2 linked regions of the Saccharomyces cerevisiae S288C genome follow. Changing the gene in region 2 together with the main gene of any one other region gives a genetic interaction. Each region holds a gene or a part of one and is shown on either strand. Other genes may lie near its edges.

Region 1 (5,195 bases), on a different chromosome or scaffold from region 2:
CTGCTGTCGTTTCACCTATCAAGGAAATTGGCTGGAACAACGAAGATATTCATGTTCCACTATTGCCTGGTGAACAATGTGGTGCATTGACCAAGCAAGTTGCTCAATGGATTGCTGATATCCAATACGGTAGAGTCAATTATGGTAACTGGTCAAAAACTGTTGCCGACTTGAACTAATGATAATGAAGGTAAACATCCCCTCCCCCCCCAAAAAAAAAAAACGAGAATTCCTCTCAGAGGATCTGTTTTTCTCTCACTTTATTCACATAGATACATACTTTTTTACAATTCCTGTTGAGTTTATTTATTATAAGAAATATTGGATTACTATTATTATTATAGCTTATGCAAGCCATTGTGCGGCTTCTTACGCTTTTTGAAATTGTTGACCTAACAACTTGGCACATTATTGAATTTCATAGAGACTGCTTGTAATTTAGTTGCCAAGGTATCTCGCTGGACTTTACATGTAAAATGAATGCGGCAAGATACCCAAGAGAGTTGATTATGCCAAAAAAAAAAAATCTATAAGGATATCCCTGGTATTTTCTGAAGAATAAATTCTAGCGTAGTTCAGAAGAGGTGCAAGTACAGTATGAATAATGGTATGCCTTCCATCATCGTGGCATACAGGTTCAGGCATGAAGAGATGATTATGTTCCCTCACCGGTCCATAATCCTGATTTAAACAGTTCATTAGTATATGTTCAGCCAACACAACAACGAGAAGCTTTGTAGTGAAAGTTTTCCACGATCTATATTTAGCATTCTAATTAGCGGCCCCAAGGGAACGTATATAAACATAAACAAACGGCACGAACTAAAGGGGCAAATTCAAGTTAACCCTTTTACACTCAGTACATCTTCAAAGCCAGTCTTCTGTCAATGGAAGAATCCAGAATGCCTAAAACTAGTTATTTAAACAAAAATTTTGAATCTGCTCACTATAATAACGTACGTCCCTCTTACCCTTTATCTTTAGTCAATGAGATAATGAAATTTCACAAAGGCACACGCAAAAGTTTGGTTGATATTGGATGTGGCACAGGAAAAGCAACTTTTGTCGTTGAACCCTATTTTAAGGAAGTGATTGGGATTGATCCTTCTTCTGCTATGCTTTCGATTGCTGAGAAAGAAACAAATGAACGTAGATTAGATAAAAAGATTAGATTTATTAATGCGCCTGGTGAAGATTTATCCAGCATTCGACCAGAAAGTGTAGATATGGTTATTTCAGCAGAAGCCATCCATTGGTGCAATTTAGAAAGGCTGTTTCAGCAGGTTTCCTCTATATTACGAAGTGATGGAACTTTTGCATTCTGGTTTTATATTCAGCCGGAATTTGTGGACTTTCCCGAAGCCTTGAATGTATATTACAAATATGGATGGAGCAAGGATTATATGGGTAAATATCTGAACGACAACCAACGGGAAATTTTGTTGAATTACGGTGGTGAAAAGCTACGTTCTTTATTGTCAGATCGATTTGGAGATATTGAAGTCACAATTTACAGTCCTTCGGACCCAAATGCATCAACAGTAACGGCTGAAAACAGTCAGTTTCTCTGGAGAGCAGCTATTACTCTCAATCAATTTAAAGAGTTTGTGAAAAGCTGGAGCATATACACTTCTTGGGCTAGAGATAATCCCTCGAAACCGGATATTGCCGATATATTCATTAACGAGCTCAAAGAAATCTGTCATTGTGAAGATTTGAATGTACCTTTAAAAATAGAGTGGTCAACGTTTTATTACTTATGTAGGAAAAGAGAATGAGGTTTACTAAATTAAAAGAAATATATAAAAAGCTGATTTTTTTCTTTTTTTAAATATTTCCCAAATGCTAATAAATATTAAAATATGGCAAAAAGAAAATAAGGTGTTGTTGCGCAGTTGGGAGTAATTTAAAACCGTCAACATATGCTCTAAAAATTTTATTGGCTCTAAATTCCGACCTCTGAATGTAATTATGTTTTAAAGCGATACGTAAACTTGTTACTGTTAACATTAAAAGATAATGCAATCATGGTAACATAATAAAGTCTCAAAAAATTCTTAATATTAACTATAACATATGCACTTCAGAAAGCTGTTTCCGGATCATATCTCATTATAAAAAGCTCAATTTATAGAAAAATAATGCGACAGTGCAAAGTAAACAACTAAATTTGGTGCCTACACCGCAAAACGATATCGAGTCTTAGAAGTATATACCTCACCACGTCTCAAAAGAACGCAGTCTCTCCATCCATCACGGTTGATTGCGTCAACATATCTGCCTTGTTCAACGGCAAAGCCAGATCTCGGCGTAAATCCATCACACAAGTTGTCACCTGTGTAAAATAGGACAGTTGGTTCTGTTGTTGAAACCTCCAATGAAAGTCGTGATGCCGGATGATAAGCCTTGAAGGCAGGGACGAGCTTGTTTACACTTACTGAGTCTGTCGTTTTCAAATTCTTATTTTCATCAACAATGAAAGCGTAGTCATAAATCGGGCCATCATCCTGCAGAATGGTAGGTTTGGAGGAGTCAAAAGTAGCAATTTTTCTTTGAACGATTTTACCGGTTGGAATTAGTGCTCCTTCGCTTACTTCCAATGATTTATCTGAGCAGAGCCTAACCTCCGTACCGCTAATGGATTTTTTATCCATAGTTTTGTTTAAATTGAAGTACGTGTGATTCGTCATGTTGATGGGAGTAGCCTCACCGCTGACCAGTTTTGCCTCGTATTCCAAGTCCAAGGTCATGTCAGCAACGTTCAATGTGTACTTTAAGTTTACAGCTAGATCTCCCGGAAATTCATTGGGCAGTGTGCGGTCATCCAATAACGTAAATTCAACAATGTAAAGGTCATCAAGAGGATTTTGGACTTTGGATGCCTTATACTTCTTGAGATGGAAGGAGCTGATGCTACTGTGGTTGGTGTTTCCACAATTGTTCACTGTCAACTGATGAGGTCCATCTTCCATACTGAACATGCCCTTGTAAATACGATTTGCATAACGGCCAACAGTAGCACCAATGTAGTTGTAGCCATCTGATATATAGCCATGAATATCAGGGTATCCTAGAACAATCGATTCGTTGTTCACTTTCAAGTCAAGCAAAGTAGCGCCAAGCTCTGAAATTGTTGCTTGAAGCTTTTTTGCATCACCAATAGTGATGACTTCATATTCACCGCCAGCCTTATTATTTGACATTATCACTTTTTGGCTTTTTAGGTGAATTTACTTATTGCAGTAACATAATGTACAATTGAGTTCCAGTACTTCGTAGTACATTCTGATTTTATATCTCAGAGCATCCAAGGTGTTTACGCATGAATAACCAAACCATGGAGGAGTTACTTTTACCTTTTTTTAAGATATTCAGCTAGTAACTAATTGTCGGAAAAACTTAACAGGTACAAGGCCATATTATCACGTAACAAACCTAATTTTTGTACGATATTAGTGCCCGAGAATTTCTCCGTAGCGTAATTTTCTGCGAGAATTTCTGCGCAGTGCAAAGATATGCGACCTGACACTCTTTACGAAACTTTACCCCTCCCCCACCTCCACCTGCATTTATCCCGTCAAAAAGTGTCAATCACCTGGATGCATAAGGAGGAAAAATTATTCCAAGGATGTTGGACAACGCGAATTTTGGAAGTGACTTCTCATAAGCTTCTGATCTCTACTATATTCTTGTAATTTGGTGGGGTAGTGCAGGCTTACTGTGCGATGAGCAAATCCAGCGTATTGCTCACAGCGATAGGCCTTTGAAATGATATTGTTTGAATGCAAAACGCAGAAATGATATTCAACTTCATAATCTCATTAAACAAGATAGCATGCCAATAGAATTCCATTTTTTCCGATTCTTAGGCCATTTACAACCAAGTATCAACTTTCGTATAATTTTATTTCCATAATTATACGCAAATGCTGCAGTAGTTGCACATAGAATGATGATACGACCTAATAAAGGAAAAGGGGAATCTGTTCTGAGCTGAAAACTGATTCAAAACTCAATTTGGACACTCGGTTCGGGTGCTGGCCAGCAATAGTTTAGTGTTATCATGTCATAATCTTCCTCATAGGTTTCAATGTAATATCGATAATTACAAAGTAGTTCCTTTTCATTTAAATTTATATGCAAGAAGATAAGAGTTGATGTAGCAGTGCACCAGTTTTGCTTTACAATTCTTACAGTTTTATGAAAAATAATCTCCAATATGCCATGCTGAACTGGCATTCTTTTTGAGTGCAAAAGGAGGTTTTGGAAAAACAAAGTCTTCTTCTGCGTGTTACTCTGAAAATGTTGAAAAATAAGCTGAATGGGGCATTACATGTTTTCATCCAAACATGCCTTGTCAATAACGAGATTCGCGACGTATTCTTTTAGTATTCTGTTCCTTTTTTTTTTTGCTCCGCGCGCACTTGAACATCTTGCATATTTTTCTTTTCTGTTTTCATCCAGAGGTTGTGTTCTAGGACTTTCTGACGGAGGAATATCATCAAATCATCACAATAAGATCAATTGCATGGGTTCCAGCACTTAGCCAAATGTACAAATCTTGATATTTACCGGAGACCAACCCTTAGTTTGAAGTGTGCGCTACCAGGGAATCTTCTTCGGTCATTATTTTCTATCTTCACGATAATCGATCCTCCTCCTATACGTTAATATCGACTGATATCTAAATACATCGTTGAAGAACGGCGGAAAAATACTTATTTTCAGGTTGTCTTCGTTTTCACTCACGATAGCAATATGGATCCTTTCACAGCTCCTATCACCGCTGTAGTTTTTTATGACGCTTAATTTCCTGTTAATAAGTAAATAAGGTAAGTTGAAGGTCCTTCATACTGTGATCTGCAATAAACCACATGGCTACCGCACTTCTTGTCACTATCCTATGTGGAGAAAACCCAGAAAAAACTTTAAAGCGTGATTGAAATCAATAATTTGGCAAAGAACTAGAACCATACGCAAGAAAACCTTCCAACTTTGGCATTGTACGCAGAAATGAGACACGTTCAAAGCACAGGTCTTGAAATTTAAAAAAGTTTCTCAAAAGTTCTCCCAAACCTTCAATTTCTATTGGTATAACAGTATTCTAGGAAGAAAACAGGCGAAGAAAGTTTCTTTACTTTCTTCCTTTAATAGACTTTCATGAATATCAAATGCTGTTGTTTTCAACTAAATCA
Region 2 (5,779 bases):
AAAGGTTGCTAGTGCGAACAATGATGGCTTCACTGCAGTACTAACAAATGATGATGATTTGTTGATATTACAGTCTTTTACGGGCGATATAATCAAGAGTGTAAGACTGAACTCACCAGGCTCTGCCGTTAGCTTGAGCCAAAATTACGTTGCAGTTGGTTTGGAAGAAGGTAATACTATTCAGGTATTCAAATTATCAGATTTGGAAGTCAGTTTTGATTTAAAAACACCTCTTCGCGCAAAACCCTCGTACATATCAATTTCGCCATCTGAAACATACATCGCTGCTGGAGATGTTATGGGCAAGATATTGCTATATGATTTACAATCAAGAGAAGTGAAAACTTCAAGATGGGCTTTCCACACCAGTAAAATCAACGCCATTTCATGGAAACCTGCTGAAAAGGGAGCAAACGAAGAGGAAATTGAAGAGGACTTAGTTGCCACTGGTTCTTTAGACACCAATATTTTTATTTACTCCGTCAAAAGACCTATGAAAATCATTAAGGCGTTGAATGCTCACAAGGACGGTGTTAACAACCTTTTATGGGAAACACCATCTACCTTGGTTAGTTCTGGTGCGGACGCTTGCATTAAAAGGTGGAATGTTGTCCTCGAGTGAGATAAGAATATAAAGTAAACAATTACGTAACCTTAGAAAAATAGATATAAAAAAGTTTTACACTGTTTTTACCACAGTCCATATAAACTTGTAATTATTACCCGAATGCTTTGATTACTTCGCTCTTTTAAAAAAAAACCCGTTCGAACTATTAAACATGTTACTGTGAGCAGACAAAAATATTGCAAGAAAACAGCTTTATAAAGTTTAAGCATTACTGAATACAGTACATTTACTTTTGAAGAAGGAAATACCATCTAGCAGAAATGTCAGATTCAGAGGGAGGTCTAGCTTCCGAAGTTGAACATGAGAAGCGGTCAAGATCTACTAGCAACAGACCCAATTATGCAATTGATACTGAGGATTTAGATATTGATGAAAATGATGAGAATGAAGATGATGATTACAGAGAAGAAGAAGCCAATGAGGGAGTGAATGAAGAAGAAATAAGTGATGAGGAGGAACAGATAAATAAAAGCGGAAGAAACAAAAGGAGGCACGTGGACGAAGAAGAGGATTTGTCAGAGGATAAAGGCGTTACTAGATCTAGAAACCGTTCAAAGTTCAAAAAACCAGTATTTCCCGGAATCGATGATGCTGAGGAGAACTTAAATCCTTTGAAAGTGGTCAATGAAGAATATGTTCTACCAGATGATCCTGAAGGTGAGACGAAGATAACTGCAGATGGTGATCTATTAGGAGGCAGAGAATTTTTAGTGCGCACCTTCACATTAACTGAGAAGGGGAATCGAAAGTTTATGCTGGCCACCGAACCGGCTAGGATAGTGGGTTTTAGAGATTCATATTTATTTTTTCAAACTCACCCCAACCTTTATAAGTTCATTCTGAATCAAACTCAAAAGAACGACTTGATAGACCGTGGCGTTTTACCTTATTCATATAGAAATAGACAAATCGCTCTAGTCACCGCTAGAGGCGTGTTTAAAGAATTTGGTGCTAAAATCATTCGTGGCGGCAAACATATAACCGATGATTATTATGCTTCTGAATTAAGAACAAAGGGAAATGTAATTGAAGGAAAACTTGCTGGTGATCCTATTGATAAATCCGCAAGGGCCTTAGAAACCATGATGTATCCTGCTTCCGAGAATGGCATAAACCCTGCAAAAAACCAGGTGGAATTCTTTGAACACAGGCCACATGGTCACATGAGTAATTCTAATATTATTGCATCAGGTAGTAAGCTGAGCTCTACAAATTGGCTCTATCAGCATTCTGCTGCGTGTAGTAGATTTAATAGCGATTTGTTTTATGATAGAGTGAAGGTTCTTCTTGTAGATCAACAAGGCTTGAGAGATGCATACACAAATATATTACACATACCAGAATCCACACAGTCAACCACTGTTTTAGGATGGAGGAGATCAAAAAACGATAGTCCCAGCGACACAAGCATTGTGTATGAGACCGTTATACACGATAACGATTTGAATAAACCGAAAACGGGACTGTCGGAAATCCCGAAAGAGATCTATGAAGACGTTGTTGATGAAGACGTTTTAAGGGCTATCACCGAACAACAAAATTTCGAAAAATGCAACGAATATATTTAGTATACTCAATGTAACAATATAACAAATTTTTATCTTCAAATCAAGGTAAAAAAATTCATATATTCTCACTTTCTTTTTCTTTTCTTGACTATTCATCTACATATGCATTTCACGCGTAAATAGGTTGATCTACAAACTTTGAATGAATTTTTCCATTGGCTCGTTGCCATTTACCAACGAAATGGTTTTTTTCACTGTTGCATTTGGATGTAGCAAGCTTTCCACAATAAAAGAAGCTACATCCTCCCTGTTAATGGAGTAGTTAACAGAAGCCTTCTCTTCTAATTTGTCAAGGGGTTGCAAAAGACCGGTACCTTTATTTAGTTCCAACGATCCAGGCTGTAAAATAGTGTAATCCAAATTAGAGTTTCTAACCTCACGATCAGCAGATCTCTTTGCAATATAGTATTCACGCAAACCCTTAATGTTATACCAAAAATCTCTATCCTCCGCCTTGAGCGCTGAAACAACAACGAACCTTTTGATACCAGCCTTTTCGCATGCTTCAACAACTTTGATACAGCCATCCAGATCAACCGTGAAAATTCTTTCCATTCCTTTACCACCCGCACCGGCGCTAAAGACCACGGCATCATAAGCCTTAATAGCGTCTGTGATCTCACTAACGGACGCGTTTTCTATATCTGTCAAACTAGCATCAACACCTACTTCATTCTTGAAATAATTGACTTGATCCTGTGTTCTAACAATCGCTAATGGTGTTGAGAAACTATCGTTGGCCTTCAATTGGTTTATCAATAAACGTCCAACTTTACCACTGGCACCGACAACCGCAACTTTCATAGGAGACATGGCTGTTAAGTCAATAATATATGAATACCGATGATATAACTTCAATGAATTTTTATTTGGAGGGAAAGTATCCTATTATGAGCGTCACGATGGGACTTTAAATATATATCCCTACTTCGAGTGTACCCTTACGTAATACTTGCAGCCCCTTGCTGTTGACAGCGCGATACAATTTTCGTACTAAACAATCACAGAGGTAACAGCAAAGTTTGGAAAGTACTTTTGTTGGAAAGTTATTACGGCCACTAACATTGTCTCGTCGTATTATTAAAAGCTATAACGTCGTATTTCTTTGCTCGCTTGTGTTTTGTGATACAGGAAACACACACCAACAGGTTCACCGAGGGCTGTTGTCTGTCTTTGTACTTTAACTCAAAGAACTTCTGTTTCACGATTTGTATTAATAGTTCTTGCAGGCTACTAGGCTGAATACGTTAAAATGGTTAGCAACGAATATAACCAGAAATACTTCGGGTACAATTCTGATACGTATATTTGTAGATATGTCTCGCTTGATGTTGCCAACTTTGTCAAAAATGGTAACGTATGGGCACACGGAATGTGCTAATCCTCGACTTTGCTCTTTCGTAAACCAATTTGATGCAAGTGCAGCGTGGTCTTTTGAAAGTGCATTATCTCATTGGGCGATGCGAAAACTCTGCCTACAGAAGTTCGCCGTTAGATAATTCTGATTGTAGAAAACCTACCAAAGAGAATAAACTAAAGTGTCATCTGCTAATTTATGATCTTATCGTCTGAGTGATGATGTATGTTTCTCTTTGTACGGTTCGTCTTGTGCTCATGTACGTAACATCCTCCATATGTGTGAATTATTTTGTCCGGCGTCTTGTTTGAATATCCCATCCGGACGTATTTCTTTATAGGATAACGCATGCACATATCGGTTCGTTCAATAAGAAAGTCCCTTCTGGTATTATTCGGTGTCCTGTAAGATCTATATACTAATCACCAAGCTATCTGGTGTCACATTGTGAATACATTTGTCTTTTGGTCCATTTTTCCCCATCATTTTCTCGTGAAAACGATCTCTAACTTTTGCCACTATAGTTTTAAAGGAAAGATTTTGAGCTGCCAACGAATACAATATAGCACACTCAAGAGTCTTGGCAAGCAACTTTAAAGTTAGAAAGAGTACTAATGTTGCTACTTTCTTGGTCAAGAATTGCTACTAAGGTAGTTAGAAGGCCCGTTCGCTTCCGGTCCTATTACGGCTTGACCCATATCAAGAGTTTACATACTCAATATCGGCTACTCAATAGGCTGCAAGAGAATAAGAGCGGTAACAAGAACGAGGACAATAACGAAGACGCTAAACTTAACAAAGAAATTCCCACAGACGAAGAGGTTGAAGCAATAAGAAAACAAGTAGAAAAATATATCGAACAAACTAAAAATAATACTATACCGGCTAACTGGAAAGAACAGAAACGCAAAATTGATGAAAGTATTAGGCGTTTAGAAGATGCTGTATTGAAACAAGAATCTAACAGAATTCAAGAAGAAAGAAAGGAAAAAGAGGAGGAAAATGGTCCTTCAAAAGCCAAGTCAAACAGAACAAAAGAGCAGGGCTACTTTGAAGGTAACAATAGCAGAAATATTCCACCGCCACCACCACCTCCTCCCCCAAAACCACCTCTAAATGATCCTAGTAATCCTGTATCGAAAAATGTTAACTTATTCCAGATAGGACTAACTTTTTTCCTCCTTTCGTTTTTATTGGATCTCCTCAACAGTTTGGAAGAGCAAAGTGAGATAACGTGGCAGGATTTTAGAGAGAAACTATTGGCAAAAGGTTATGTTGCGAAGTTGATTGTTGTCAACAAGTCCATGGTGAAAGTGATGTTAAATGACAACGGAAAAAACCAAGCCGACAATTACGGTCGCAACTTCTATTATTTCACAATTGGTTCAATTGATAGCTTCGAACACAAACTTCAGAAAGCACAGGACGAACTGGACATTGATAAGGATTTCAGAATACCTGTACTATATGTTCAAGAAGGCAATTGGGCTAAAGCTATGTTCCAAATTTTGCCAACTGTTTTAATGATTGCAGGTATTATTTGGTTGACAAGAAGATCGGCACAAGCAGCGGGCGGTAGCCGTGGAGGCATATTTGGTCTGAGTCGTTCTAAGGCTAAAAAATTTAACACTGAAACAGACGTTAAGATCAAGTTCAAGGACGTTGCCGGATGCGATGAGGCTAAGGAAGAAATTATGGAGTTTGTTAGCTTCTTGAAAGAACCTTCTCGTTATGAAAAAATGGGAGCTAAAATTCCTAGAGGTGCGATTCTATCTGGTCCACCAGGTACCGGTAAAACTTTGCTTGCAAAGGCAACAGCAGGTGAAGCCGGTGTTCCGTTTTATTTTGTTTCTGGTTCAGAATTTGTAGAAATGTTTGTTGGTGTTGGTGCAGCAAGAGTAAGAGATTTGTTCAAAACTGCAAGAGAAAATGCACCCTCAATTGTGTTTATTGACGAAATTGATGCTATAGGAAAAGCAAGACAAAAGGGTAATTTTTCAGGTGCCAATGATGAGAGAGAGAACACGCTAAATCAAATGTTAGTAGAAATGGATGGTTTCACTCCAGCTGACCACGTTGTTGTTTTAGCTGGTACCAATAGACCCGATATTCTCGATAAAGCATTATTAAGGCCTGGTAGATTTGACAGGCATATCAATATCGACAAGCCCGAACTTGAGGGTAGAAAAGCCATTTTTGCTGTTCATTTACATCATTTGAAACTTG

The links. A genetic interaction does not mean that the proteins touch.
Region 1: mutations in YMR090W (region 2) and YHR210C together harm fitness more than expected from each alone (negative genetic interaction), as found in Saccharomyces cerevisiae (one large-scale study listed by BioGRID).

The regions. Positions count from the first base shown.
Region 1 is NC_001140.6:518,535-523,729, forward strand, and holds YHR210C (aldose 1-epimerase superfamily protein), read right to left. Parts: upstream 3,204-5,195; coding exon 2,178-3,203; downstream 1-2,177. Other genes in the region: branched-chain-amino-acid transaminase BAT1, read left to right, coding at 1-179; CRG1 (S-adenosylmethionine-dependent methyltransferase), read left to right, coding at 903-1,778.
Region 2 is NC_001145.3:446,475-452,253, reverse strand, and holds YMR090W (uncharacterized protein), read right to left. Parts: upstream 3,010-5,779; coding exon 2,326-3,009; downstream 1-2,325. Other genes in the region: AIP1 (Aip1p), read left to right, coding at 1-622; NPL6 (Npl6p), read left to right, coding at 889-2,196; m-AAA protease subunit YTA12, read left to right, coding at 4,168-5,779.